7 linked regions of the Nothobranchius furzeri genome follow. The protein of the gene in region 2 binds, or shares a complex with, the protein of the main gene of each other region. Links are inferred from orthologs where the notes say so. Each region holds a gene or a part of one and is shown on either strand. Other genes may lie near its edges.

Evidence for each region.
Region 1: tada3l (region 2) and kat2a share a complex: the UniProt entries of both Homo sapiens proteins name them as parts of the STAGA transcription coactivator-HAT complex. The link is inferred for Nothobranchius furzeri from reciprocal best matches to the Homo sapiens genes TADA3 and KAT2A.
Region 3: tada3l (region 2) and dr1 share a complex: the UniProt entries of both Homo sapiens proteins name them as parts of the ADA2A-containing complex. The link is inferred for Nothobranchius furzeri from reciprocal best matches to the Homo sapiens genes TADA3 and DR1.
Region 4: tada3l (region 2) and yeats2 share a complex: the UniProt entries of both Homo sapiens proteins name them as parts of the ADA2A-containing complex. The link is inferred for Nothobranchius furzeri from reciprocal best matches to the Homo sapiens genes TADA3 and YEATS2.
Region 5: tada3l (region 2) and tada2b share a complex: the UniProt entries of both Homo sapiens proteins name them as parts of the TFTC-HAT complex. The link is inferred for Nothobranchius furzeri from reciprocal best matches to the Homo sapiens genes TADA3 and TADA2B.
Region 6: tada3l (region 2) and mbip share a complex: the UniProt entries of both Homo sapiens proteins name them as parts of the ADA2A-containing complex. The link is inferred for Nothobranchius furzeri from reciprocal best matches to the Homo sapiens genes TADA3 and MBIP.
Region 7: tada3l (region 2) and taf12 share a complex: the UniProt entries of both Homo sapiens proteins name them as parts of the STAGA transcription coactivator-HAT complex. The link is inferred for Nothobranchius furzeri from reciprocal best matches to the Homo sapiens genes TADA3 and TAF12.

The regions. Positions count from the first base shown.
Region 1 is NC_091745.1:16,620,352-16,624,506, forward strand, and holds the start of kat2a (histone acetyltransferase KAT2A), read right to left. Parts: upstream 2,868-4,155; 5' UTR 2,793-2,867; coding exon 2,568-2,792; intron 2,343-2,567; coding exon 2,219-2,342; intron 1,459-2,218; coding exon 1,313-1,458; intron 1,207-1,312; coding exon 1,117-1,206; intron 921-1,116; coding exon 739-920; intron 643-738; coding exon 451-642; intron 1-450. UniProt on the Homo sapiens protein: Protein lysine acyltransferase that can act as a acetyltransferase, glutaryltransferase, succinyltransferase or malonyltransferase, depending on the context.
Region 2 is NC_091743.1:74,426,886-74,431,232, forward strand, and holds the start of tada3l (transcriptional adapter 3), read right to left. Parts: upstream 2,881-4,347; 5' UTR 2,679-2,880; exon of another isoform or gene 2,635-2,678; intron 2,340-2,634; 5' UTR 2,309-2,339; coding exon 2,099-2,308; intron 2,012-2,098; coding exon 1,764-2,011; intron 1,632-1,763; coding exon 1,526-1,631; intron 1,405-1,525; coding exon 1,269-1,404; intron 1,142-1,268; coding exon 1,038-1,141; intron 227-1,037; coding exon 120-226; intron 1-119. Other genes in the region: actin-related protein 2/3 complex subunit 4, read left to right, coding at 3,301-3,303, 3,864-3,982, 4,216-4,327. UniProt on the Homo sapiens protein: Functions as a component of the PCAF complex. The PCAF complex is capable of efficiently acetylating histones in a nucleosomal context. The PCAF complex could be considered as the human version of the yeast SAGA complex.
Region 3 is NC_091756.1:58,164,623-58,169,039, reverse strand, and holds the start of dr1 (protein Dr1), read left to right. Parts: upstream 1-1,568; 5' UTR 1,569-2,625; coding exon 2,626-2,845; intron 2,846-2,946; coding exon 2,947-3,110; intron 3,111-4,417. UniProt on the Homo sapiens protein: The association of the DR1/DRAP1 heterodimer with TBP results in a functional repression of both activated and basal transcription of class II genes.
Region 4 is NC_091751.1:55,945,835-55,949,524, reverse strand, and holds part of yeats2 (YEATS domain-containing protein 2), read right to left. Parts: intron 3,063-3,690; coding exon 2,690-3,062; intron 2,601-2,689; coding exon 2,466-2,600; intron 2,147-2,465; coding exon 2,027-2,146; intron 1,008-2,026; coding exon 866-1,007; intron 788-865; coding exon 711-787; intron 633-710; coding exon 553-632; intron 111-552; coding exon 1-110. UniProt on the Homo sapiens protein: Chromatin reader component of the ATAC complex, a complex with histone acetyltransferase activity on histones H3 and H4. YEATS2 specifically recognizes and binds histone H3 crotonylated at 'Lys-27' (H3K27cr).
Region 5 is NC_091754.1:63,115,879-63,120,187, forward strand, and holds the start of tada2b (transcriptional adapter 2-beta), read right to left. Parts: upstream 2,917-4,309; 5' UTR 2,782-2,916; coding exon 2,512-2,781; intron 1-2,511. Other genes in the region: cfap184 (cilia- and flagella-associated protein 184), read left to right, coding at 3,041-3,661, 3,901-4,248. UniProt on the Homo sapiens protein: Coactivates PAX5-dependent transcription together with either SMARCA4 or GCN5L2.
Region 6 is NC_091758.1:21,136,567-21,140,782, forward strand, and holds the start of mbip (MAP3K12-binding inhibitory protein 1), read right to left. Parts: upstream 2,911-4,216; 5' UTR 2,872-2,910; coding exon 2,752-2,871; intron 1,965-2,751; coding exon 1,848-1,964; intron 1,682-1,847; coding exon 1,502-1,681; intron 940-1,501; coding exon 843-939; intron 487-842; coding exon 421-486; intron 241-420; coding exon 82-240; intron 1-81. UniProt on the Homo sapiens protein: Inhibits the MAP3K12 activity to induce the activation of the JNK/SAPK pathway. Component of the ATAC complex, a complex with histone acetyltransferase activity on histones H3 and H4.
Region 7 is NC_091745.1:72,393,387-72,397,753, forward strand, and holds taf12 (transcription initiation factor TFIID subunit 12), read right to left. Parts: upstream 2,963-4,367; 5' UTR 2,787-2,962; intron 2,146-2,786; 5' UTR 1,993-2,145; coding exon 1,915-1,992; intron 1,799-1,914; coding exon 1,721-1,798; intron 1,494-1,720; coding exon 1,379-1,493; intron 1,205-1,378; coding exon 1,116-1,204; intron 990-1,115; coding exon 954-989; 3' UTR 548-953; downstream 1-547. Other genes in the region: si:ch211-79k12.1 (roundabout homolog 1), read left to right, coding at 3,846-3,897, 4,343-4,367. UniProt on the Homo sapiens protein: The TFIID basal transcription factor complex plays a major role in the initiation of RNA polymerase II (Pol II)-dependent transcription.

The sequences.
Region 1 (4,155 bases), on a different chromosome or scaffold from region 2:
AGGTGTTCGCTAGGTACTTTTAAGATTTAAAAAGTCAAGAAGGAAGGGGGTCTGAAAAGCTGCTAGAAATAGCGTCAAAGTCGCTAAGTTGGCAACACTGTGGAGGAGCGCTTCATTTGCAACTCAGGGCAGCGCAAGCGGGAGGAGCAAATAATCGGCTTGCTTTGTTTTTTATAATTGTTCAAAACTCAGATTGTAATCGTGATTAAAATTCGATTAATTGAGCAGCCCTAGTGAATAGTTACTGAGTTAAGGTTTTACCTCCGTAGGTATAATAGGTGTTTAACAACCTGTGTAACTGCACCAGAGTGAAGGAAATGTCATTACACCATATTTATTTTTCTGTCTAATGGAGGGACAACCCCAGCTCGCCCCTCCACCACCCTGCACCTTCACACGCAGTCGTCAGGTTGTCCACATTAGCTTTCCCTACAGAGACCCTGTGCTTACTTGGGAAAGTGTGTGAGGATGAGTGTGCGTTTCTCTGGCAGCAGTTTGTCTTTCTCCACCCGGAACTTCTCCAGGAGCTGGCGCCGAGTAACCGTGAAAATGGATTTGAGTAAGTTTCGACCAAACACCTGAGTGGTTTCATTGCGTGGCAGGCTGTCGTTACTCTGTGGGACGTGGCAGTAGCACAACCACCTGATGGTCACACACACACACACAATAGATCCACACTGCTGTTACGTCAGACCAATAAACACAAACACTACATGTGCGCTCTCCGTTAACACACACCTGGTATAGTCCACTTTGTAAGCGGTTGCCTCATCTTTCTGGGTACGCTGACGATACTGCGTCGGCGTCTCTAACTTCCAGTAATTCAGGCATAACAGAAACATCTTCGACAGCTCGAACATGGTCTGCCTCTCCTTTGGTGCCAGGTGGCTGAACTTGTACTGGACAAAATTCAAAACGCCCTGCAGAAGAGGAACACGAGGTGGATGTTGAATAAAACTCTCAGGTCATCTTTATCAAATGTAAAATCTGCAGCTGATTAACACTCTTTGGGGAACCAATGACACCAATTTAAAATCTATAACTGGTGAAAGCCAGTGGTCAGTGTGCATTCTTTATAGGATTGCTCGGGCCTGGGGCGTTTTCTAAAGAGTTCACCTGCTCAATGTTGGGCTTTTCAAAGGGCGGGCTTCCGAGGGACCCCTCTACAACCGGCTGGCTCATCTGTAGGATGCATTTCCTCAGGAGCTTAAAAAGGAGGAAAGAAGTAAAAGACCGAACTACACCAACATCCCGAGGGTCGCCTTCTCCCTGGTTGGTCCATTAGGACCTTTCATTGGGGTGAGGCACCCACCTTGAAGAGGTAGAAGTACACTTGTTTGGTATCGGTGTCCTCCTCCTTGTGCACGGACATGAAAAGGTTCTCCACATCCACGACCATTCCCAACAGCCGGTTGATCTCATCTTCAGACACGTTCTCCAGATGGGACACGTGATCAGCTGGAAAGTTCGCATCAAAGAATAAAAACAGAGATGAGAACACTATCAGTTTCATTTTTAATCAGATAACTTCGTCCACAATTTTTATAAAGTGTTTTTTCTTAATCAGCGTAGATATTCTCTAAACATCATGACTCATTTGAACATATGAAATTAAAAAATCATTTTGAGTTAATTGGGGGTGAAAGTTATTGTTGCAAAAAGCAAACCGCATCCATGTCTTCAAACGTATGCAAAGGTTTTTTAATCTGTTTGAGAATTACTGGGTCTTAAAGACCAATATTCTTTAAGAAGTCGAGGTAATGTTCACATAAACCATAAATGTATTTTTTTTTTCATGAACAAATGAGCATTTATTACAATGCAAGCAAAACATTCTCAGAGTTACCATGAGGATCAATTTGGTGTGCCACCCCAAAATGTTCTCTGTCCCCATGGCCACCCCATGACAATTTCTGAAGGTGCCACTGATCATTAGTACAATAGACTGAGACAGCTTTGTGAGGGGCTGGTGACCAAACTGAAGACATGTTAACACTCTCCTCAGATGCTGGTTAGTTTAAGAGTGGATGATAATCAGTTTAGATGTGGATGCTGGTTAATTTATATGTAGAAACTGGTTAGTTTAGGTTTGGATGCTAGTTAGTTTGTATTTAGAAACTGGTTAGTTTAGGTGTGGATGCTGGTTAGTTTAGGTTTGGCCATTGGTTAGTTTGCATGTAGAAACGGGTTAGTTTATGTGCGGAGGGTTAGTTAGTACCCAAAGCATGTCCACAGCTGCGGCAAGACTCGCTCAGACTGGCTGTTTGCTGCTGCAGATCCATACGAGGAGCTGAGGGTGGATTTGGGTTTTTCCATCCATTACACTTGCATGTGTCACTAGCCTGAGAACAGGACAAACAAACCATACAGGCGCGTTAATAACTGAAAATATTTCCCGCAAAGTAATTATGTATTATGCAGAACTGGACATTAACAGATACGTTGTCTGCAAAGAGTAAACCCCACGTTTATTTATTGTATTGTTGATGAAGTTTTAAATAACGTAAAGGTAATCAAACCAGAAGCGTGCTTTGTTGTTGTGAACTTCGGCTAGCTGAGTTAGCTACCTTGCATGCGGAGAATACGCCAAGTTTCTCGAGCTTTTTCGCCCGTGGGAAAGCTCGGACCTGGGCTTTCTTCTGGCTGGCGCGCTGTTGCTGGCTCAGTCCTGGTCTGGCCGGGTCGCTGTTCCCCGGTCCGGAACCCGTCGCAGCAGCACCAGACCCCGCAGTCCCGGTAGACTGGGTTTGGAGAAGCCGGGGTTGTAAGGCCTGCGCCGCCGGGTCCGACATATCCACGCTGCTGCAACAAACACTTCCTTCCTCTCCGTTCCCGTTTACCTCATATGCTGCGTTCAAGTGCCGTCTGAAAAAGTGGATTTAGGTCCACTAGCTTCACAGTAACGTTAGCACCGGATGTGATATTTCCAGAAGTATTATGTAAAATATTTGTCACACACACACACACACACACACACACACACATATATATATAAATATGTGTGTGTATATTTATATATATACACACACACACGTATCTATATACACATATATATATGTATGTGTATATATATAATTATATATATATGTATATATACATATATGTATACATATACTTATATATATATAATATATATATATAAGTATATGTATACATATATGTATATATACATATATATATAATTATATATATGTATATATACATATACTTATATATATATATATATATACATATATGTATACATATACTTTTATATATATATATATATATGTATGAATGTATATATAATATCTATGCCGACTCAGAGTGCTGCGCGATTACGTCATAAACAAAGTTCTATTGTCAGGGTCTGGCACGTTCGAAGTCATTCACTTTGGGATTTCCAAGAGACAGCCCATTTTTCTGACCGTCCACAGTGTTGTTATATTGTTTTATTGAATTATTTCAATAACCATCTGTTGAAAATGAGCAGTGAGGAATACAAACAGCACTCCAAACGATTCCTGTTCAGGGAGGTAATCCTCCCCAGAGTTGTAACAAGGGTGAAACTAACCCACCCAAATACACCAAGTTACGGCTCAAAAATAAGCAGAATTTCGAAACTCAGTTGCTTGAGGGCAAAGTTTCTGACTATTTGAACAGCGCCTTTCAACATCAAAACTAGCCAACTGAAAAAGGAGCTGCAGGAGTTAAAAGATAAGGAGAAAACCCTTCAATCTCAGTTCCGTGAGTCAAATAAGAAACTCAGCGAAATGGTGGAGAAACTATTTTTGTATTTAGTAATCAGTTTGAAACTCCAAATGATTCATGCACCAAAAGACTGATTGGGAATCGTGCCTATTATAGGATATATATTACTAGAATGTATCAAACATAATTTTGAGCATGAAAAAAAGCTTTAAAATTGGTGTTACATTTGTAATTACTTTTCCAAACATTTGCAAACAACTTTATATTAAAATACACAGCTCATTTTAAATTTAGAAAATATTTTAACAGGGTTAATGAGTTTATTCAACCATGACTTATCCTTGATTGGATCTAATACCCTATTTGGGTAAACCGTAATAATTATGTTGATTATAGGTTTTAACTTATTCAAAAACTGTAGTTTTCTTTTTAAAGAAATCAGACAAGACTTCTCAAATGTTGTCA
Region 2 (4,347 bases):
GGCATGTTAGAAATAGGCAGTTCACAGGCTTTGTAGACAAACATCCGAACCTTAAACTGAACCTGGTAGATAACGTTCTACAAAGAGCTGATCTTCTGCACGGATACGATGCAACGCACCTGAATGCTTTGCCTTGGCTTCGAGGAGAAGTGCCAGCACCGTCATTGGCATCCTTTCCTGATATGTCTGGTATTGGAGAATCCTCCATAGGGGATATAATGTTCTCCTGGAAAAGAACAAAACCAAACTGATAAACATACACCTCTATGACTACCTCTTGTTACGCTATAAGCCCAAAAGGAGCTGGACTTCAAATATTCTAGAAAGGTTTTGCAGCAACATTTTTCAGGCTCCAGATTTAGCGATGAATACTTTTCTTGTTTCTGATGCAAAATCTACACAAACATAACTTAAACTTTAGAAACCAACCAGTGCTGTGTCAACACCCAACACTTTTTCTCTGCATGGATCAATGCAAGAGAACAAATCAGTGTACAGGTTTCTGACAGTTATTCCGATGCCTCTGGCACACCAAAAGCAGCACGCACAGAGATGTTTTATGTGTCTGTTGGCTGCACAAGAGTATGCCGCAGTGCAACGTTTCCAAACCATACAAATAAACAGCTTTCAGATCTCAGCTTTGCAGCTTTTGGTGCAGAAGAGGCTTTAGATGCACTAAAAAGACAAACGGTTGAAAAGAAGGTAAAAGTGCGAGCAACGCTGCAAAGCAAAGCTGAATAAAGTACTTCAGATTGTGATCTTATGACCGTTACAGAAACCACAAGTGCTGGCTGATGAATCAAGTTGTTTCACTAGAGAACACACATAAATACATATGTTGGTTACACTAAAAGTAGTTGTCAGGAATCAGAAGGTATCTCTGCCTGCTGTAAAGTATGAAATCTTAAAACGGATGAATATGGGTAAGTGGAAAACAATACCACACAATGAAGTAGAAACAAACAAAAGTCGATGTTACCTAAAAATGGTTGCACCTCAATCCTAATTCAGTGAGATTTGAATGGAGTTAGTCTGACCTCTACAAGAGCCTGCAGCAGCCGCTGTGTGAGGGGGAAGAAGGGACACCCATCTTCTGGTGATTCATGCTGGGATTCTGACTTTTTCAGCAGGGAGTCGACATCTGTAAAAAATAAAATAAAAGTAAAGACGAGTATTAAAACAAACATAGTAGCAACAGCTGCATGTCACAGTTAAGCACAGTTAAGACAAAAGCACACATGCTCACGATCGTTTCAGGCCTCCTTCACCTTTTGCATCTAGTTCTGACAGCGGCCCTCCCATGATGCTTTTCTTCTTGTCGTTGGCCCGTGCTCCTTCCCTCTGCTCCTCCAGCAGGTCCTCTTGGGCCCATCGCTGGGAATAATGCTTCCCCAGAGCTGGAATCTACAGTTAGCACAAACGGAGCTGAGTCGCTGGCGTACTTTTCCCACAATGCGTCTTCATCAACCGCAAACTAAGATGTTAATTATTACTTAAATGAAGAAGACTGTGATTTACGTCTTACTTTGAAGTACTCAGTCTCATCATCTGGAGGCTTAAGAAGCTCCTCCAGCAGTCGTACCTCCTCATTTGTGATATCAGCACAATATGGCTCGACTGACGCCCAGAACCTAAAAAAAAAACACATTAAAGCAAAAACAAACTGATGATTGTTGTGGATATACAGCACATCCCTGAACAGTCTAGCTAATAATGCACCAGAAGATATTCTTCTATACTTAAAAGGTTCTGATGCTGCAAACCTGTTGGGTGCATCGTTCTTCGGAGTGCGAGGGATGTCTTGTGGATCATCTGGAAAATCATACTCTTGAACTTTGGGCTGTAGGATTTTGGATTTGGGTCTGCCAGGACCTGGGCCTGGTGCATGTCCTCCCTTTCCATCCAGTTTTTGCTTCTTAGGTTTATGGCGGGATGGGGCCGCAGGATCTGGGTCTTTGCCCAGCTTTAGAAATCGTTTGTCTCCCTTCTTGTCTTGCCAATCTGTGAGGATCTGAAGAAGTAGGTAAGAATGAAAGTTTTAATATTTTTATATATTTTTTATTTGGAGTCCATTCTTTCATTAACCTGAAACACCCACCTGTCTCTGCTCCTCCAGGGCTCGGAGGCGCCGGCTGGCTGAGGACAGCAGGGTCTCCAGCTCTAGCTGCAGGGTGTCCAGCTCTTCGATGCCGATGCCATCGTCGTCTGACCGTCCCAACACTGCGGTGTAACGGGGGCACAACTTAACGTGCTCCACGGGCTTGAAGTCGTAGTACTTCAGCGGGGGGCAGTCCTTCAGTTCGCTCATGATGCCGTGGTGCTGTCAATGTCCTATTAAACTGGTACAAACACGAGCATCGCGTTAGTTAGAAGTATGTGTGTCTCTCTCTCTCTCACACACACACACACACACACACACACACACACACACACACACACACACACACACACAGGTGTTCGGCCGAGCTCGGTGGTGCGTCTCTAATCAAAAACCCAAAGCACGTACGTGAAAAAAGGATGCATCATTCCGCCCCGGGCCCAAATGGGGCTGATATCTCAGAATTTAACAACAGTGGCTTTCATATTCACTGTCTGCATACAGATATTACACCACGGAGAAATTTAAGACCTTACATTTTCATGTTTGGAGCCCAGAAACATTGAGTAGTAGCATTTACCGTCAGTAAAAAGTGTCCATGATGGAACAAACCATTGTAGCAAGAGGGGTGTCGATAAAGATATTAATAAAACAGCACCTTCCCTGAACCAAAAGAAATATTAATCAAGCACTGTGTTTATGTTATGTAATATGTACTATTAGATTTAAAGATATACAGCACACAAAACAAAAATTGCCAAATTTTGATCACAACAACCCCCATGTAAACCAAAATGTCACGGTGGGATTAAACCATGTTCTATCAGTGCGCAGCTGCACAAAACCTTTTAAGTAGATTTTCAATTCTAAATCGACGTAGTGGAACATTGTAGTATTTTTATTTTACGAATTAAATCAACACAACCATCATTTTAAAAATCAAGGTAACTTTTTTTAAAAGTCATAAAAGCAAAGACTCTCACCCCCCACTTGGTTAGACAAATGGATGCACCGCTGTAAGTGCTCGTTTTAGAAACCACTTCCCTGCTGGGCGGAGTTATACTTTCAAACAATGTATGCCCGCCTAACCCAACCAGAAAGGTGAATAGAACAAACGCACTCTTGCTTTACATTACCATGAAGAATTTACGGAAGAGTCGTACCAGGCGTGGCTGAGGAACTTCCTTCTTCACAGCTCAAAAATGGTAAGTCTCTTGCACTTTGCGAGTTTCTGAAAATATAGAATAATTTTGCGATTTCTTTCAACTCACTGCGACTTGACCTTAGCTAGCTAGCTATGTGTTCGAGTCACACAGATGGCGTTTGTTTGTGGCTGGCTTCAGTAACGGGCATCTTTCATACGGAATGGAGACTGAAGTGATTTAGCTGAGCTGTGTTCTGGGGCCTTTTTTCGTTCGTTAGTGTTACAGGTGGCTCTTTGAAAACACACGTTTTTAACGTTGTAAAATTACTAGCACAATTATGAGGTCTGATCAGCGATCTACTCTCACCTGGAGGCACCTCACTCACCGAGATTCAGCTTAATTCCTGCTTTTAATGCAGTTTTCTGCACAGACGACCGATAACTACTTTATTAAAGAAACCCTAAAACGGACAAAGTGAAAAATAATAAGGTTATATATGTATTAATTCATGTATGGATGCTCAGTTTTGGCTCAGGTGAGGTCGGTCTCACTGAGCTGGATCAACAGAACATCATCATGCAGGATTCCTGTTGCTAACCCTGATCTCTGTTCCTGCTCAGACAGCGACTCTGCGCCCGTATTTGAACGCTGTGAGGTCCACCCTGCAGGCAGCCCTCTGTCTGGAGAACTTCTCCTCTCAGGTGGTGGAGCGCCACAACAAACCGGAGGTAGAAGTCAGGTATGTTTATTGGCACAGAACCACCTGCAGTCTCGGTGGTGTCAAAATCCACTTTTTTCTTCCTGATGTTTCTCCTGCCCCTGAGCTCTCGGTGGATTATCTGCAGCTGACACACAAGTGTGGACTTGTGCTGACTTGCTGCAGCCCATTCGAAGGTGTCCTCCCAATGCAGCTAGAAAGCCGAGACTAGCTGGAAGTCAACATCTAAGAACCGCTCTGTTGTTGCTTTGCAGGAGCAGTAAGGAGCTGCTGCTTCAGCCTGTGGTGATCAGCCGGAATGAGAAGGAGAAGGTTCTCATTGAGGGGTCAATCAACTCTGTCAGAGTCAGCATTGCTGTCAAGCAGGTAATTAAATCCTTGATTGC
Region 3 (4,417 bases), on a different chromosome or scaffold from region 2:
AAATGATCTTTAGCTAATGAATCCTGAGTGTTAGAGTCTGCCGAAGGGTAATCTCAAACAACAAAAGCCTAAACTCCCTGACACTATCATTACATAACCTCAGCTAAAGCAGTCCACTCATTACCGTTACAGGTCCAAGCTTCTGCCTATTAAGGCTTTTAACGAGGTATAGTTAGCTAACTGCTTCAGACAATCAACTATAAACTTCTTGGACTCTGCCAGACAAAATAAACTTGACCTCTGAGTGGTTAATCCCATTAATCTACATCAACAGCCATTAAAACTGCTAAGACCAATCAGACCTTTCCTTTAACATACAGGAAATGATTCCTGGCTTATAGGGTGTTTGAGGGGTTATGGTGCTCCGTGTTTCCAATCGCATTTAGAGGCTAACTTTAGGGAAGAACTTGGATGAAGCAAAGGCAGCTTGTGTTTCCTTTAGTTTTATATGCATCCGGCTGTACAGTGCAGCAGAAACATGGCAAAGGTGACTTCTAAGAAATAAAACACAAAGACAGGCTTAACGCTGTGGGACACCTGAGATGGATGAGAGGATAAGACATGAGAGGATCAGGATTTACTGTAGAAATCCTGGGCCTGTTTTGGAAAGGCTATATGGAACATAGACAGCTATGGTTGTATGTTATTTTCTCTTGTCATGTTGTTAAAAAATCTAAAAGTTGGGGCTGCAGCAGTCATGAAAAAAGTCCATCAAACCCTGTAGAGTCAAAAGTATCGTTGCTTTAATCTTCACTAAATGAACACGTCAAAGTTTGTTCTTTAAGATCAGCTTTTTAAAAGTGCCTTCATTTTAAAATTACAATATATATCAAGGTTGATTTTGGTGACTCAGGGGTTAAGAGGATGAGGTTAAGGTTACGAGTTCAAACCGAGGTTCCCCCAATCATGTCACGTATTGCGTCCTTGGACAAGACACTTCACCCACCTTACCTGCTGGTGGGGGTCAGAGGGGCCAGTGACACCAGTGCTATGCAGCCTCGCCTCTGTCAGTGTGCTCCAGGGCAGCCGTACATTCTAGCTCATCACCATCATTGTTTGAATGTGCGTCTGAATGGATGAAGGATTCAGTGTAGTGTAAAGTGGTTTGGAGTCCTCTGATTGTAAGGATCTACACAAGTGCAGGTCATTTATTAGTTATCGTGACTAGTTTCTGGTATTAACGTTACAGTGCTGGCGTGATTCATTTAAAGCTTGAGTTTTTGAACATATTTAAATGTTATAATGAGAAATAAAAGGCTCATATTATCTAGTGTAAATCTTCGGCATCTTCAGAAAAGCTGACTTTGAAGTTTGATGTAATGTCACAAAACCTCCACGCGAGGGCGACCGTTGTCCAGCTGACGCTGAAAGCAACCATCAGGCTGTTATAAAGATTTTTATTGTTCGGCTTTTGTCATCACTAAACGAACACCTTAAAATTCTTACATTTCTGCTTCAGGCTGGATTAACATTAGTCCCTTAAAAAAGAGATGCACATTGGCTATTTCAACATATCTTAAAATCAGATAAAAGCATGGTAAGAAATTTGAGGGTTCCCTCTTATGAAATCACATGTACTTATTTTTATATTTGTCCAATTTTTAAATACCAAAAGACGTGGTAGTTGTTTTTTTTACATTACAGCTATAATTGTTCTCAAACAAAAAAAGAATACGTTTATTTGCATTTGTCAGTCGAGAATGTTTATTTATGAAAGGTAGCAAACAATGTGACTTTCAATATTTTAACGATTTGTACAATGTTTTTTGATTATTTTTTTAAATCTGTGACGGCCTTCTTTTTGGTAACGCTTTATGGAGTGTTTAGAAAAGCTTACTCCAGCTGTGAATGTACAACTGAGCACAGTTCAAAAATAACAGCACGCGTTGTCTTCAAAGATTCCGCTAGATGGCAGTATTTCCTGATGGGTTTCATTTCAGACTCCGACTACCAAGCCATGTTTCCGGTTTATTCGTCACGCGCATCCGTGACACATTTAGGCTAATGTTGCTAAGAATAAATGCTATCCTAAAATCCCTTACTGTAAGTTTTCCGTTTGTGTAATTTGTTTGGTTCATTTGGCAATGTAAGATAAAAATAATCGGTGGTGTTAAAGCACTTCATAAAGCTAGTCTTTGTGTGAGCAGCGGTACATACATCAGAGAGCTCTTTATTGTTAGCCTAATTGTAGCCTCAGCTTTCACTTCTGTTCTGCGGGGCTAGAAAACAGCAGCCGCTTTACTAGCCTGGTTGCTAATTAGACATACATCTTATTAATATACTAGGGTTTTGTGAAGTGTTTTTGTTCAGCGTGTGTGGAAGATATCCGTGACACTTGCTTTCATTTCTAATTCCTTAAAAGTCACATCGTCAGGCGGCTCATTGTTTGCTATAACACACAAGTAGCCGTTAGCCAACCGGCTAACTTTTGAGGAAGCGTCTCATCTCTTCATGACATTAACTTTGTGTTGACGTCTGCTCAACCCGATCATTTTATTATTTGTACTCCGAAGACTCAAGAAGATAGACATTTGTTAATTCTGGTAACTTCCACACACTAAAGAAGCGGAGCTCCGTTTTTTTATTTTTATTTTAATACTAGTTGGAAGTTATTTTTGTGCCACGATGGCTTCCTCATCTGGGAACGACGACGACCTCACCATCCCCAGAGCAGCCATCAACAAAATGATTAAGGAAACTCTCCCTAACGTTCGAGTGGCCAACGACGCCAGGGAGCTCGTCGTTAACTGTTGCACGGAGTTCATCCACCTCATTTCCTCGGAAGCCAACGAAATATGCAACAAATCCGACAAAAAGACCATATCTCCTGAGCATGTCATCAACGGTGAGTCAGTCCCGACCCAGACCAGGAAGAGTATCATCCTCCCTGGTTCTAACCGCTGAAACTAACTGATTGCACTTTCACCTCCTGTTTTCGCACCGCAGCCCTCGAGAGCCTCGGTTTCGCGTCTTACATCACGGAGGTCAAAGACGTCCTGCAGGAGTGTAAAACTGTAGCTCTGAAGAGGAGGAAGGCCAGTTCTCGACTGGAGAATTTGGGTATCCCGGAAGAGGAGCTCCTCAGACAACAACAGGAACTGTTTGCAAAGGTGAAACGTCCTCATGCGTGAAGCTTGTGCTTTTTGAATGAGCATTCTTGTTTTCCCTTTTGCCAATCAGTAATCGTTGGCCTGGGATGAGCTCTGAGTGTTTATTTAGTACTTTAAACTTATCTGTATAGCTGAGAATAAACAAAACAACAAAGTTATATTCATTTTTATTAATAACACATCGTAACATTTAAGAAACGTCCTGGTGAACATCGCAAATGAACAACAAAGTGCAAAGTTACAAAAATACTGTTATTATTAGAGTGAAGCAGATGATTTAGTTCATTGCTGATGTTATTCACGTTTAGCCTTTTTAAAGATTAAAAGTCATTGTGCTGCCTTCTAGGGTTGTCACGATACTAAAATTTCAAACTCGATTCGATACTGGGAAAAAACTCGGTACTCGATTTCGATACTATTTAAAAACACCAATTTATTGAACAAGTTTATTCAAAAAATAACATTCCTCAATTTATATTGCAAAAGTTAAATGTTAAGAATTAAGTGTGTAAAGTGCTTAAACCTTTCAAGTATCAGCATTTTTTTAAACGTGCATACAAAAACTGGTGAAAGTTAACACTTTAAATCATGAATTGTCCCACTATATATACACTATTTGCAGAGTGATGTTTTGCTGCTTAAACTCTGTTTAAGGTGCATTTTTGTCATAAGATGTAATGCCATATGTTTTGTTCTGTACTTTTGAACAACTCTGTTGGTCAATAAAGGGAGAAAACTAATTTCTCCTCAGTAGGACAAAGGTACATCTACCGGTAATCTTAATAAAAACAGACCAGCGCACGGCAGTGACGTCATTAAAAGCGCCGGTTAGATTAGCCGCGGCTAGTCTGTTTACGCCTAGAAATCCCAGACCCGCTCCAAACGAACAGGGGAATCACGTTAATGATTCCTAACAAAACCTTTCGACATTGAGATGTTTTGGTGCAGATAATGTCTTATTTCGAGGCTGCACCATGGGTGCCCGTCCGCACCCGTTATACGGATATACACTGACGGCGATTCGCCGATGGATCTACGGTAAATACCCCGGGGAATCCAAGTAGCACCAAAGTTGTCAGCATGAGTAAACAAACGTACTGCATGCTAGAAATTAAGTCCGGGTTGCAATAAACGGGAGTTTCCTTTAAGCACATAAGCGTGAATATACAACTACTTGTCGGACTTGGTATGCTAATTAAGTTGGGCTGTGAAGCGCCTCCCAAATTCGCTGTTTTTGTTTATTTTTTTTGGCAGACAAAACTTGGATCGGAGACAACTCGCGTGGGAAATTGCAATGTAGCAATGCG
Region 4 (3,690 bases), on a different chromosome or scaffold from region 2:
CGGCACCACTGCACCACCTCCTTGGTCTTCGGGGGCGTCAGGGCCTGCAGGCGGGGCGAGCGGTCCAGCACGTCCTGAACCAGACGCTTCACCGCCACCGCTCTCTGAAGCTACAGAGACGGCCAAAGATCAGCTCATTTTAACTCGGAAGAGTCCGATCACAAAGTTTAAGCATTGTAGACCCTCGCTGCTTAAACTATTTAGCAACATGCATGAATAAGCATTAATATTCACGGTATCCCACATACGGCTCAGAATACAGTATTAGTCAAAGAGATGATGTGGCAGAAACACACATCCAACTAGAGAGAGAAGAGATGCAGCTGGAAGACGGATTAAAATGCAAAACTGCAGCCGCGGCGAATCATCACGTCGTGTACTCCATCAAAGTGAGTAAAAACACGGTCATACTTCTCTTCTCCACAAGAACAGCAATGAATCATTTACTATGTTGATGAAACACGAGGCTAGTACAGCATGAAGACGAGTAAAACTGAAGATAACGGTGAGAGGTGGACATAAGATTTCATCAAAACAAAATCAAAAGGTTACCTCTGACGCTCTGCGTTTGCCAATGTTCCAAGAATAATACTGTTCTACTGAGGAGGCACAAAAGGGATGGGAGTCTTCAGCTATGTAAAAATAAAGCAGCGTTACATTTAAAGAGTGTCTTCAGTCGGTTTATAAATATGAAATCTAATTGTATTTACTTTTTTCTGGCACAATTAGAGGAAACTTCTTCACCACAGCCGTCAGCAGCTGCATCATGGTTTCGATGTGCTCAGTGCTGAGAGGAAAGAGCTTTGGATTAACATCAGAACATCATCTGCATTTGTGTTTAAAGAGACAGCGGCGTTGCTCTTACTTAATGAGGCAGTGTGCTGAGTTATCTGTGCCTTGTTCCTGTTTGACGGTGGTGGCTGCAGAAGCAACATGGACAGGGGCTGGAGCAGCAGCCGTCGCCAGGGGCGACGGACCAGCTGCGACGGCACCTGGTTCTGTTTTCACTGTGGCAGCGGAGAGCGACAGCAGATGTGTATATGTGGGGGAGATAAATGTTATTAGGAATCACAAACATATTTAGACTTGTATAAAAGATTATTACTCTGAACTATTTCATCACAAATCAACACATGTAATTTATATTTTAAAGGGAACTAGGCAGTCTTGGCTTGCTTTTGGCACCCCCTAGAGTCCATTTATAGAACTGAAAGCAAAACTTATCTCCTCGCTTTCCCCCCAGCCTTCCTTAGTATCTACAGGAGTCATTCATTCATTTGGGGCAGCAGTAGCTCAGGTGGTAGAGCGCGTTGCCTCATGATCGGAGGGTCATGGGTTCGATTCCAGCTCCCACCAGGGGTATCCTGCTGTTGTGTCCTTGGGCAAGACACTTCACCCAACTTGCCTGTGTTAGTGGTGGTCAGAGGGGCCGACGGCGCCAAATGGCAGCCTCGCCTCTGTCAAACCTCCCCAGGGCGGCTGTGGCTACAAGTAGCTTATCATCACTAGCAGTGTGTGAATGTGAGTGTGTGAAAGCGTCTTTGGGGGTCTAGAAAAGCGCTATATAAGTTCAATGCATTATTATTATTATTATTATTATTCATCACTAAATTACACAAATCAGATGTGTTCATAATCTAAAACATCCAGGAAATGTGCTGGAACCAGACTGCAGCACCAGGTATGTCAACTCCTTTTGTCTAAGTCCCAACAGAGCTGCCCGCCAGTCTGAAGTTGCAAGTGGAATACTCTGGTCACAGGTGGCGATGGGGGCTGGGTGTCATTTCATTAACCATGTAAAGGGTCATTTTAGCACATAGTGGCTCAAGAAAATGATTGAAAAAGTAGCTAAATGTCCCATTAATAAGACTCTAATGGTTTGGATTATGTTCATCAGCTTTAAACACAACTATCAAACTATTTGCTTCGTCTTCAGTGGCCAATGTTTGATTCTGACAGCTCAAACATAAAAATGGAGTTAGGAAGAAAGAGAGGAGAGGGTGGAGTGACAATGGACCCCTCTCACCTTGTGCTAAAGGCGGGATAAGGGAGGAGGAGACCTGGCTGGAAAGACCTGAGGAGGCTCCAGCTGCTCCAGGAGGAGTGGATGAAGAGGAGAAGGAGGGAGGAGTATTGGAGACTGGGCCTTTAGACAGACAGACAGACAGACAGACGGACGGACGGACGCACGCACGCACACACGCACGCACGCACGCACACACACACACACACACACACACACACACAGAAGGGTCAATGTCCTGCTAGGTAAACAGTAAGACAAAAAATGAGATGAGAGGATATTGGTAACAATAAGATATTTCCAGATGATGGAGCGCATCTCAGATTTATTTTAAAATTACATCAAGTTCAGAACAACTAAAGAAGTAATCCAGGATCAGTTTTGGGATTCTGTTTAACTTCAACACTAGCGAGATTATTCTGTGTTCATGGAGTGGGCTTACCTTTACTGACAGGCATGAATATGGATTGCAGTCCAGCAGACCCAGTTCCAACCCCTAGCTGCTTCAGCTGGGTGGCAGGGATGGTTAAAACGGTCTGCTGGGAGCTGGAACCAGCAGACTGGATCTTCAGCATACCTGGCCAAAAACCACAAGGTGAGATCATTTGCACACCCATGTGTTGTGCATAAACATATGATTGTAGGTTGTGGTGTGTTCCTCCACACCTGACAGTGCAGCACTTGTTTTTCCTGCTCCAGCTGCCACTCCGCTGACTAACGACGCCGCAGAAACTAATGGAGTGTTGCTGCTTTTGGACACCCCCACCACAGTCCCAGCTCCAGCTCCTTTGGACGTGCTCATGACGGGCAAATTTGTGACACCTTTTGCCACCATCACTGCGGCAACGGCTGAACTTCCTGCACTCTTACTTGGGGAGGCGGAGCTTCCAGCTCCTTTGACCAAAGAGGCCACAGCTGCCTTGGACAGACTGCCGCCGCTGGCTGTGCCGGCGTTCTTAGCTGCGCTGATTACTGCCGCCTGGCTGGCTGACACCAGCAGTTGCTGTTGCTGGGAGGCAGACTTCCCGCCATCAGCAGCCTGGATAAAGATACAGAAACACATCTGTCAACCAAAAAAATGTGCAGAAATACTGCACCTCTCATGCATGTATAAAGCAGAAAAAAAAAAATCCTGACATAGTTTATGTTTTAAATAAATAAAATTTTGACAGCACTCTGCAGCCCTCTGCTGACCAGAAACTGCTCTTAAATATTTTGTGGTTCCGGTAGGGGTACTACCTGCTTTACGACAATAAACGTCTACTGTGCTGGTAGCTCATATAAAGGCTAGCTGTTAGCCATTTCAGTTTCACCGGCCGTCAATAAATAGTGCAAGATGAAATAGTTTACTTTTTTGTTGGCATCATGGCGGAGCCTGGAAATTAAAGTAAGAGAATGATGGCTTTGGAGGCAGAGCAAAGAGCAACAACTAGAGTGAACATCAACACGACCTACACTCGTTTGAGGACAATAAAGGAGGCATTGAAATGAAAGGTTTATGGTGACCTGGCTTTGTTGTAACTTATAAGCAATATTCTGGTCCAAAAGTGTGAATTGATTAGATTAAGCCACACTTGAGATAAGAATGAAAAATAACTAGGACCAGTAATTTGACAACACACACACACACACTTCTACAACCTCCAAGGTGCTTCGCAACACAATCA
Region 5 (4,309 bases), on a different chromosome or scaffold from region 2:
ACTTTAGATTGTTGGTGACCCAAACACACAGTTTAGGCTATTGGTGACCCAAACACACAGTTTAGGGTGTTGGTGACCCAAACACACAGTTTATGGTGTTGGTGACCCAAACACACAGTTTAGGGTGTTGGTGACCCAAACACACAGTTTATGGTGCTGGTGACCCAAACACACAGTTTAGGGTGCTGGTGACCCAAACACAGTTTAGTTTATGGTGCTGGTGACCCAAAAACACAGTTCAGGGTGTTGGTGACCCAAAAACACAGTTCAGGGTGTTGGTGACCCAAACACACAGTTTAGGGTGTTGGTGACCCAAAAACACAGTTTAGGGTGCTGGTGACCCAAACACACAGTTTATGGTGCTGGTGACCTAAACACACAGTTTATGGTGCTGGTGACCCAAACACACACTTTAGATTGTTGGTGACCCAAAAACACAGTTTAGGGTGCTGGTAAGATGAAACTAAAACATGCTGGATACCGGCCCTCCAGAACAAAGGATTGAGAACCACTGCTTTATACATTATTAGATTATTTACAGCGGAAATTAAACAGAGGAAAATCCAATCATCCCTCTGTGCATTTACATGCAGCATCAGTAAAACACAATTGCCTTATGTTGGCTGAAGTTGTTTTTTATGCATGTAAACATATCTCCAACATGTATTTACACCAGGTCCAAAGCCTTTCTGTAAAATCTTTCTGCAGGCTAACTTACGCAGTTTTCAGACCCCCTTCTGAGCGGGAACAAGCTTTATAAATGAGTCCCCTGGTCTTTTATTTTTTTAATCACAACTGTCTATTTTTTGCACATTTTGAATATATTTTTAACCATTTTCTAAATTCTTTTTTGTATTTTTACATTTTTTTGTTTTTGTGAAGCGCCCCGTGATTTTTATCTTGAGAGGCGCTATAGAAAGGAAGAAGAAGAAAATATCATTTCTGTAGCGCCTCTCATGATAAAAATCACGAGGCACTTCACAAAAACAAATATAAAAAATGTAAAAATATAAAAAAGCATTTCGAAAATGTTTAAAAATATATTTAACATGAGCAAGAATAAGCAATTGCGATTTAAAAGAAAAAAGTTAAGAAAGAGGGAGAGTGAACAGGAAAGAGGGAAATCAGTGGATCCTGAGGAAGGTGGAATAGGTGGGGAGAGCAGAATAAAGAGAGAGAGGTGAAGAAGGTCATACAAAAGCCAGCTTGAACTGGTGAGTCTTCAGCTGCTTTTTAAAGGAGACCACTGAGTCCACTGATCTCAGGCTCAGGGGGAGAGAGGTCCAGAGTCTGGGGGCCACAGCAGCAAATGATCTGTCACCTTTGACCTTTAGCCTGGTGCTGCACAACCAGTAGGCTTTGATCACTGGACCTCAGGGACCTGCTGGGGGTGTAGGGACTAAGAAGATCACCAATGTAAGATGGTGCTTGTCCATGTAAGGCCCTATAGACCAGAACCAGGACCTTGAAATGAACCCTGAAGTTGACTGGCAGCCAGTGAAGCTGGAGGAGAAGCGGGGTGATGTGGGTGTGTTTGGAGGACTTGGTCAGAAGCCAAGCACAGGCGTTCTGAACCACCTGTAGACGGTTCAGGGAGGTTCTGCTCAGACACGTGAAAAGAGAGTTACAGTAGTCTAAGCGTGAGGAGATGAAGGTGTGGAGAACTGTCTCAAGTTCAGAGCGGGACAGAATGGGACTCAGCTTAGCAATGTTCCTGAGATGGAAGAAGGATGAGCGAACAAGAGAACTGACATGAGAATCCAGGGTGAGAGCTGGGTCAAAGGTCACGCCAAGATTCCTGACAGAAGGTTTGGTGTGGGAAGCAAGCTGACCAAGAGAGTCTCTGACTTTGGGAACCAGCTTGTCCTAGCAGGAATACCCCTAACAGGAAACCCTAGCTAGGAACGACCAACAGTCCTTGCTGTGCTGACCGAAGGTTCCTTGAGGGAACATAAGGATGGATCAGATCTGATAGATAACGTGAAGACAACTCATTTAAACATTTAAAAGGATATTTTTTTCTTCTTCTAAAAACTCCTGTTTTTATGGTAAAGAAACTAATTATAGTATAAAAATTTATGAGGTGGTTCTATAGAATTTAATTAATATTTAAACAGAAACATCCTTCCTTAACAGCACAAAACTCTGCTTTTAGATTAGAACACTTTTAGTGAGTTAGGATTTCTACTGAATAGTTTTCTTTTCCACATCCTCATATCTGCTGAGCTTGTCTGACACCTGAAAACATCTAAATCTTGTAATAAGTCAGCTTTTCATTTATATTTACAGTTAGTTTATGCTAGCTCTGGTCCCAACTCTATGAGAAGTCAGAAACAACAGATTATTGATCTTGCTCGTATTTTACTGTGAGTGTACCAAATCATACAGACAGTTGTTCTCCTGAAAGTTACAGACGTCGTGGCCCTTTTTTTGGTTCTTGTTAAACTTTTTTTCTTTCTATAGACATTAAAACTAAACTTTAGTGAGTATTTGTGAATAAAAGTGATGTACCCAGTTTCCAAATCCATACTGCTCGATGGCATCGAGGAGCGACTGCTCTTCCCTGCTGGTCCATCCTCCCTCTGCTTCGGGACCCCAGAGTGAGAAAAGACCGCCGTCGACCTGCTGGTAGCCATGCCATCTCCGGTGATTACCGATTTCTGCACCTGCCGAAAAGCACTCGGGACACAGCTCGATATCGGGGCAGTCGGTGCAGCGAAGCCGTAGGTTTGTAACATCCGCGAGGCAGTTAACGCAGTACTTCTTCCCCAGGTCGGCCATCTTGCCTGGCTCTTGCTTCTTGTTGTAGAAGGCAGGACCTCGCGCCTGCGCACTACGTGCCTCACTACTCGCGCTGCACACCCACCTTCCTAATTAATATTCATGAGCGTCACAGAGCTCCTGTGATTGGTTCCTGGTCCCAGTTTCCAGGACAACGGAAACTAAACGAATAGTTTCATTGACAACAGAACTGCGCGAGCCGTTTAACTCCAAACAAATGCCATTTAATACATTCTAACTTTATTTTTTATTATTAAAAATGAGTAGAGAGTTACAGAATGAAGAAAAGAATAATGCTCCTAATAATGTTAATGAAGATGAAGAAGAGCACGTTTCAGCTGGAATATTAGCACACGAGGCACTCTCTGTCAGTGGGAAAGTCATAAATAGGCTCTTTGTTGAAGAAGCAGCATCCTGTGAGCCAGAGGAGGGCAGTGGTCCCACCACAAGTAAAGAGCTCGATGTGGACATGAACAAAACAAATGAACACCTGCAGAGTGACCATGATGGACCCTCGGGGATCAACTTTCAGACCCCTGACAAGGAGCCCATCTGTCCTGCACTGGAGGAGGACGAGGAGGAGGTGCCTGCCGCACTTGCAGACAAAGAAGAGCACAAAGGGTTGGTGCAGCTCCTGGAGAACCAGGAGAGAGAGGAAGCCCACCAGCTAAACCAACAGCTGCAAATGAAGTTGGCAGGATACTTCCAAAGGAGAGCAAACAAGGATGTTCATCAGGAGTGGTCAGCATCAGGGCAGCATGAGTATGAGAAGCACCTCCAAGCCCTGACTGACCTGAAGCTTCAGCTCAGATCTGCTTCCGAGTCAGCCCAGAGGCAGGCAGAGGAGCTGGAGATGCTGGCACAGGAGAAGATGGACCAGGTCTGAAGACGGCTCATACAGACTGCTGCGGTCTCTGACTTTAGTGTAAAAAAGCTTGTTAGTTTGCTGTTTTGGGCGCCACACAATTACATAATGGTCATTTTGTCACTCAGGACCTAAAACCTGAACTCTAGGAAATGTAGGATTTTTTATTGACCAGAGAGAGACATTACAGATTTGTTAGATGAGCTGTATTAAGTTAACCTGACTCTGACAATATTTTAAATGTGTGCCTTCAGGTGGAAAAGGACTGGCAGGCACTGGTGGCTCTGAAGCAGGATGCAGCTGAGGCGGCGCTTAGTCGTCGCCTGGGGAAGGAAGCAGCTCGGGCCAAAGTCAAGTCGGTCCTGGTTGCAGCGCAGATTCGGCAGGACGAGCTGACCAAGGTGCGCCTCAAGCACTTCAAGTTGAAGCTGAAGGTCCACAGGCTGGAGGCAGAGCTCCGTGAGAGAAATAAAGACAGCAGGGATCCCCTACAGGTCCGGTTTGAGCAGCTGTGGGCTGAAAGGCTGAAGCAGAAACAACAGGCTGAGAAAGAAAATGAAGAATCACTAAAACTGCAGAAGAAGATCAGCTGCTGCTTGGAGGTAATGTGATGAACCCATTAGTGCAGCGAAACCCAAACGTGTGAGTCAAAGTTTACATCTT
Region 6 (4,216 bases), on a different chromosome or scaffold from region 2:
TCATGTCACAATATCTATATTATTTGTATTGTACAGTTTTATTCAGGATGTGTGACGCATCACTTGTCTCTCTTCTCTCACCTGACGGCAGTTTCAGGTGAGTCTCCATGTTCTGAAGTCGCTCCTCTATGGCTGCATTTCCACAGTCTCTTGCAGCTGCCCCCCTATGATGCTCTGCAGCCTCTCCCTGGCGCCCCCCGCCACGAGTCTGGGGCCCGTAAGTGTTTACCACTCGTGAAACTGATCAACCAAAGAATAATCACAGACTCGGATGAACCAACCAAATTTTAAATGATGCACATTACAGAAATCACACAGCATCCATGATGCTTGTTACCAAATTGTTAACAAAAATAATTTAGCTAGTGATGATGAGTGTATTTTTGAACGTAAGAGCAACAAAGAGTCCCCTTTTCTTACCTTTAATGTGGCTTTTAAAGCCTGGGTAAGGAGTGAACACGGCGTCCGTCCTGGCACAGCTGTTTTCTACAAAGGAATCAAATCCAAAACAAAAGTGTAATTAGACTTTCTAAATGTAAGAAGAAAATAGTCATAAAAAAAAACATTAGAAATGAATACACCACACTTGAACTGCAACTTCGTCTGATTTCCATTACTGGCGTCACACACAAGCTTTGAATTTCAAACAGCCTGTGTGTCTGGTGTTTTTCTGGCCAGAGCAGGTTGCGTTTCAAGGCCGAGTGTGTTAGCTACTTCAGGCCCACTCTTGGAGCAGTTCAGCCTGACCTCTCGCCTGTGGAAATCAGCTCTCTCCCAAACATTGGCAATCTGTGTGCAGCCTCCCTCTCCACCCTGCCCCCCAATCTCTCCTCCGTTCTCACCCTGATTGCAGTCGATCACGTTGCAAAACTCGCGCACATTGTTTTCATTGATCTCCATCTGCTTGCATTCCATAAATGCAGATATTCTTCGCTCGATCTGGAGTTACAGAGAAGACAGATAATAAGACACAACGGGTTGATGAGCCACTGATAGCTGTGAAGAATTCAATGTTTTGTCGACTTATTTTTACTGATTTAGAGTAAACAAAGTTCAGCGATTTATGGTTTCAAAAAATATCAAACACAGTGAGAGAAATTATTCCAGATAGCCCAAACAGTTGAATAGATTATCGTCATCATGTGATGGAATAAGAATACGGTTTGCCTGGCTACCAAAATAAATGCACAACAGAATGGGGCCTCTTGTCCTTCATCCACATGCAATCTCAGAGTAATGAGCATCCACTTCATAATCCATCAAGGACCTGGCCCTCTCTCAAACCCCTCCAGCAATGTGGTCCATTCTACCCCACCACAGCACTACAGAACCCTTTATTCTCTGTCAAACCCAGTATCAGAACTCCATCAAGCATTTGCTGCACATCATGTGCACATCCTTGGAACCAATTACTTATGATTATTCATTTGCTTGACAGAGTGTGAAGGGCTCTAAAATATCAGTGCCAGAACAGCTGACAGATCTGTTGACAATGACCAACCTCTGACTTCCCGGCTCGGATCTGAACCATGACGTCATCGCCCGAAGACCCGCAGTCTGCAGCCTCTGAGCTGTGACGCCGGTGCTCGGATGATAGTGACGTGACAATGTTATCCGCCGTGTCTTCCTTCACAGATGTAACATCAGCTTCCACCAGTGACCTCAGGCTTTCTGAAACAGCCTACAGCCAAACAGAAAGAACACTGACTGCTACAAACACATTATAAATTAGTGTTATTATTTCTTTAATTACAACACTAGTGACCATCAATTATACTGTAAATGTGGCACTTATTAGATATTGCAGTCATATGTAACATAAATTAACCAACGGGTGAATGTCTTACCTGCAACTTAGCAATGTGCTGCTGTACACAGCCATAAACACCTGCTTCTGAAGATGACGAAAGTACTACAGCTCCAGGGTTGACCTCTATTCTCAAAGCAGCATCCCCTAATTTCAGCTTTGAGAGAAAATAAACAAGAGTTTCATCAAGTACACATCACCACAGCTAAATAAAAAATATATAGTTCAAAATAGTAGAGGCAGAAAATGCTAAATAATTTAAGTAATTTAACCAACAATTTGGTAATTAAAAAAGAAGCAATTTTTCATAATTTGCTTCTATAAACGGTCAAATTAAATAATCTTATTGTTTTACACTGAACCTTTCTGCTGTGCTAGAAAAACTAAACCATTATTTAGCAAAAAAAAACAGTGTATATAAGACTGAATACATATATTTAATGTCCCTTTAGAAGCCCTGGGTATGAAAAGAGCTAAAGCATCCAGCAATTTTAATAATTTAGACGTAAACACGGGGGGAAATAGAGCAAGGTTAAATATATTTTCTAAGGTAGAAATGCGTTGTGGACAGTGGCATCAATAAACGTTTACCTGCAGGACCAAAAATTACATAATACTGCGTAAAAATGCCAAAAACCGTGAACGTTTACTATATGGAAAAAGAGGGTAAATGAAAATAAGCGTGATTTGAACCTAAACTGACGTGTGACACAAAAGTCTGGACATGTTTTTATTGCACAGAAATACAAATATTAAAACTGAATCTGTTAATTTAGATATAAACCATCGAGCTGACGCTTTCCTACGGCAAAAACTTGATTAACGGACAGTGAATGAACATGAACCGACGAGGCTAGTTGCTAAAAACATTAGCACACCGCTAGGAAACTACTCAGACTGGAATGACTATTCGGAGCGAAGCAGCTGAATCATTTCACACCAACCTCTTTCCCAAAGTCTGAAAGCAGCCCCAGTATTGCGTCCATGCAGTGTTTGTAACTGGACATTTTAGCTGGTTCGCTGGGAGGAGCTTTGCTCTCACTTAGCTTCGTTGTCTCCGCCATTGCTACTCAAACTCATGGAATACTGCGTGCTCATTGGTTGCGAGACGGTGATTTTAATCACGTGGTTGGTGGAACTGCAGGCTAAAATGACGCATGCGCATTAACAGTAGCGCATGAAAGTAAATTCAAAGCACAAAAATAAATGATTTACTGTGTTTTGCTCAGAATTTTGATCTTTAAATAGATTCTGAAACATTAAAAAACCTGTATAGTTTTTTTTGTTTGATCCTAAAGAGGGCTCATCATAGGTAGAAAGATGCTTTTGTTTTTGTTTGTGGAGATTTAATTTCTAGAAGGCTCATTCAGAAAGCAAAAGTCAACTTTTACTAATTTAAACTATTTAATAAACTAGTACAGATGCTTAAAATTGTGAAATATGTTTCAGTATAACAAAAAAGTAAACAATAGTTTAAAAAACAGCAGAGAAAAATAAACAGAAAATGTTTTAACTTTTGAAATGGACATATTATTTAGGTTCAGTATATTTGTTTGCCTTTTCTCAGAGGATGCTCATAAGGTCATGTCTTATTTGTATAAAGCATATAAAATAAGTTTTATTCTTAAAAAACTACTAATGTTTTTATTGTGCTGATTTTTGAGGTGCTTTATGACTTAAACTCTTTTTTAAATCTTGGTTTAAATGGACTTGTCTACATTTTTACAATACTGACTGACATGTCCAAGCCACATTTGCCTACGTTTTCATTCACCTGCTTCTCAAACAGCACAAAGAATGGCTCCTTATTATAAGCACACTGTGCTTCTTACTGCAGAGGACCAAGCAGCAGGGCATTGGGATGGGAACCTGCCCACAATGGTGTATTTCTCTGAGTTGAGTGACTGTGGGAAAATCTCCCTTCTCTATTCAGACATTTTTCACTTCTTTTCATATAATGAAGAGAGAGACTGATGAAGGAAACAACAGAAAAAGAACAATTACAGGCAAAGAGACGGCACAACCATGCACTCAGAACTCAATAATGCTCTTTAGAAAGGTTAATCATTTTAGGAAGGGCTCTGAAGATAAGCCTTTTTAGCTTAATTCATTTGTAGGGTGATATTTTTTCCCGTGAAACAGGAAGAGAACTGTAACACTTGACATGGTTTGACATGCTGAGCAGTTGCTAAATGTTCCCACACAGCGAGGAGCTCTGAAATTAAATACACTGCTCATTTAATTTGCCTGGCTGCAGACCCAAGAGCTGTAATTTTTTTTACCCTTTTAATGAGCTGTATATGTGATTTAAGGTACTTCTTGGAAAATACTTAGAGCATTTTGGTTGAATTTAACTTTTGAAGCCAAATTGCAGATGCTCATTAGCTAAGGGTCTGACTTGATCTTTCA
Region 7 (4,367 bases), on a different chromosome or scaffold from region 2:
AGGAACTGCAAACAGAACAAGAATCAGTGCTGAAGAAACAAATGAGTTATTTGTTTCCGTTTTGGTCTGTAAGTGGCAGCAGCGACGGTACGAAAGGTCCGTTTTGATTAGAAGCCTTCCCTAATGTGATCCAGTCTTGGGCCAGTAGTTACAAATAAAATGCTTTGCTGTAACAATAACTGCACATCACTCTACAAGTGACTGACTTGTTTTCATGCACTGCTCCTGCAGCCATTGTGATCCCTCTAATAAACCCTTCATCCACCAAAAGAAAACAACTTAACAGCTGTTGCTTTATTTTATTCCACAGCCTAAATCATCCTCGTGTTTAGTGAATCCATCACATTTGTTGATATATCGGCTCAGCCTCTGAACCACTTCATCGTTCATCTAGATGCAGTTTTAAATGTGCTGGGATTGCCTGACACCGAGACATTTTTACTCGTGAAACCCTCAACTACACTCACATAAAACATCCATTTTCTTTGCTTTTCAAATGAATGACACTCAAGTCAAAGCATGGAGAATGCAAACTCCAAAGCATAACTTGTATCGTGGTATTATTACTTTATTTCTGACAATGTAAAATTCAATTAAATACCATATCTTTCTATTTTTGATTTAGAGAAAGAAAAGGGAAAAACAAAGTCAAGCAGGGTAAACACAGTCAGTATGGTTATCATCTCCATGATCAAGAGTGTCAAAAATCTAACCACATTAGACGATGACGTTACAAACAATATTTTTAACAGAGTACAATGAGGTTCAGCCGGTCGTAGCGCAGCGGTAACACGTCAGAGTAAAACACACAAATACTATCGTGCTCTGGCAAAGCACGCAAATGTCTCAAGAGACGTGACAAAAACGATTTATTTCAAAAGATATACACCCCTCGTCAAAACCACGTACATTGTCTATTACCAAAAAAACATTCAGAACAACAGAGTCTGATGCTACTTTTTGGTCGTCTTGCGGATCAGCGCCATTCTCTGAAACAGAAAATAAGAGATGATCTCAGTCAGGTTTTTTTTACGTGTGCAGACTCACGTACGATATTGAAAGGAATATTTAGACACTATTGATTCTAACAGAAACCAACTTTTTTTCATATTTACCTGTTTATGAGCCTCTGTGGTGCATGCTTTCTTGAACGGTCTGATTTCATCTGACCCGTAACCAGGTATCCACATGTTCCACTGGCGCTCTGAAAGCATGAAATGATTACATGAAGACAATATGTCACCTCAGACCTCACGATATTTCATTAGAAAGAATATTTGAAAGTAATGCTATTATGTTCTAGGTTTGATTTCCTTGTGCAAAAGTCCCAAAATTGTACTCATTTTAGAATTTTACAATTAAGTTACCCGAAACCTACCGAGGTGTAGCTGAACATCTTTAACTTCTAATGTGTTGGATTTGCGATGGCGTGCTAGTTGGCAGGCAGCTGTCACCACACTTTCTATGAAGTCATCCGCAATTTGAAGCAGCATCTGAGAAGAGAAACATTTCTGATGCCTTCAAAAACATTTATAGAACTCAAGCGACACTATTCAACCTCGAAAAGGATAATTATTATCAATTGCCCCATTATTTCTTGAAATCAGACTTCTAAACTATTTTTAAATGAGAAAAAATGCTTTATTTATGTTTAAGTCGTGTATTTTGAAGCAGATTTGGGTATGAAAGTGGAAATTTAAGTTGAACACCACTAACAAACCTCCTCAACATCCTCATCCAGCTGCTCATTTGGGTCGATTTCTCTCACCAGGTCCTGAAGCTTCTTCTTACTGAGCACCTGGAGAAAATTTTCACAGAAATGTGTGTTAGAATAGAATTCTTGTTTTTTTATTTAGAGATAAACACTTTATTCAAAATGACATTAGACAAAGACAGCAAAGAGGAGGAACAAACCTGAGAGCCCTCTGGGCTGCTTCTACCTGCAGGACCCGAGGGCAGACCCTTCACTATTATCGGGGTGTTGTTAGCCATGCTGGTAAACACAGGCAAGCGTACTGGGATCCACTGGTTTCTGAGGTGCCCAAAATGTGGAAGTCCTTCAGAGAAAGCAACAGTCCTGGGTGACCGTCCAACTTGGGCACAGGTAGAATAGATCACCTTCGTACGAGGAACACGGCCTTTAATCTAAGGTGAAGAATCAGAAAATAAACAGCAGTCCCAAGTGAAGTTAGCTTGATCACAAGTTTTACCAGAGTGACAGATTTTAAAAGGAAATTTCCATGACATAATTCCTCTCAATAAATCAAATTAATAACAGTTTTTTATTTCCAGCACAGATATTTGTTTTTAATTGCTGCTATTCGTGATGAATGTTGATCCACTGACTTGCTACCCATTAATGATTGTTACAATGACCATTGCACAGCTGTTGAAAAATATGTGCTTGAAAGTATGTAAGGTAACCTAATACTGACATAAAATAATATGAAGTGGAATAAAAGTGTTTGTGAGCTCGCTGTAGCTTCAATTCGCCATAGACTGATTAGATTAGCAGTCAAACAACGAGTTAGCCCTGGACAAATTACAGACAGAAACCAAAAAAGCAGAACATTTCGTAACATTCACTAAAACTCTCCGGTTGCAAGCAAGCGACTCAGCATCTGTGACAAAAAAAAAGCAGCGATTTAAAAAGTAGAAAATCCAGATACTAAAAACAAACGCTATCCATTTTTGACGTTAGCCACAGACGCTAACGTTAGCAGCTAATCTGACGGAAGAACGTTATGTACCCTGCACTCAAAAATTATCTGAATTCGAATACTCACCACGTTAAATAAACACTATCTGTCCATATTTATTTGATACAAAAACGACTAAGTGTTTTAGTTACAAAGATAATCCAAAATTGTGTCTCCATACAATAAAAACAAACGAGCGAGTGCTTTTCAGCATTTCCGGTTAGCTTGGTTATACTTCCTGTGTCAAGGCGTTGTTCCTATGTCGCCTCCTGCTGGATATTCAAAGTATTACACAAACAAGCGGGTTAAAACTTCACGGATTTACTGAATTTTACAGATAAATGAACAATTTTCCAATAAAATAGTGATAATCCAATCAAACAATATAAATAAACTGTACTTAATTGAAATATATTACAACAGAATTTCTATTTTAAACCCCAAACATTCCCTAATTTAATCTAAAACACTTCTGTGGAATAATTTGCTAAATGAAACATCTCTTAAACCACAAGTTAATGAAGAATATGAGCTTTTTATCAACCCAAATTTATTTTGTATTGAATTTATTTGTTTTGTAAATATCGTGTGCACACATAATCAGTTAATGACCAGATTTCGTGCCAAAACATAATAAAACAAATTAAGGGATCAAAGCCGATGAAGCGCATAGTGCTGGCTTGGCTTTTGTATTACATGTCACCCTACAAATAAAAAGTAATAGTAAAACAAAAGCAAAACTACAACAAGTTCTTCAGGAAACCCCTGAACTTTCAAACCTACCTTGAGCGCTTTCCCCCGTGGATACAAATGACGCGCTGAGTTTACATAATACCATTGGCGGAGGAGCGAAGCGTCCCTTTGTCTGGCGCAGTTGAGCAAATAACCGAAATGTAATCCCTAGAGCAACGCTGTTGCAAAACCATACCTATTCCGCGTCATTTATTTTCATGCATAAAATGAAAATAATGGCTATGATCTTTCAGAGTCTCTTAATAATCTGATATCACACTTCCTGGACAAAAGCAGAACAGAAAGCCACACCTACGCTCTGATCTACTAATACAAAGGAAACTTTCATTTCAGTTTAGAGCTGCGCAGCACTTCAGGACTTCAGTTTTAGTGGTGAAAAGATTTTCCACAGACATGAAAACCTTTCTGGTGTTTTCACTGGTGGTCCTGATTCATGGCACCTTCGGTAAATATGTTTCTAATTCTCATCAACTGTTTTTAAAGCTGTGTGTTTTTTCTTATGTAAAAGGAAGCTTGGTTTAGGATTTTACTCTTTTAGTTTTTCTCATTTTACTTTTTATCTTTTTGTTATAGATTTATTCTACAGAGTCGTGTTTACTTGCCTGTTTGCGTCTCATCTGTTCTAAACACTGGTGCTTACGTCACGCAGAGATAAACAGCAAATGTTCAGAGTTCAGAAAATTAAACAAATTAAGTATATAGAATATAACCTCATGTTTACTGGGTTTTAGTAGAAAAATAAAAACATCAACAAACTTAAACTCTTGGCGCCAATAGATGGAACCTGTTTGTGGTCATGTGATCAAAGTATCTAGTATTTCTATGGTTTAAACTTATTAATCTACATGCTTTCACTGATCAATAACTTCATTATTTCTGTTTTTATGCAGCAACTTTGACCATTAAAGGGCCAAC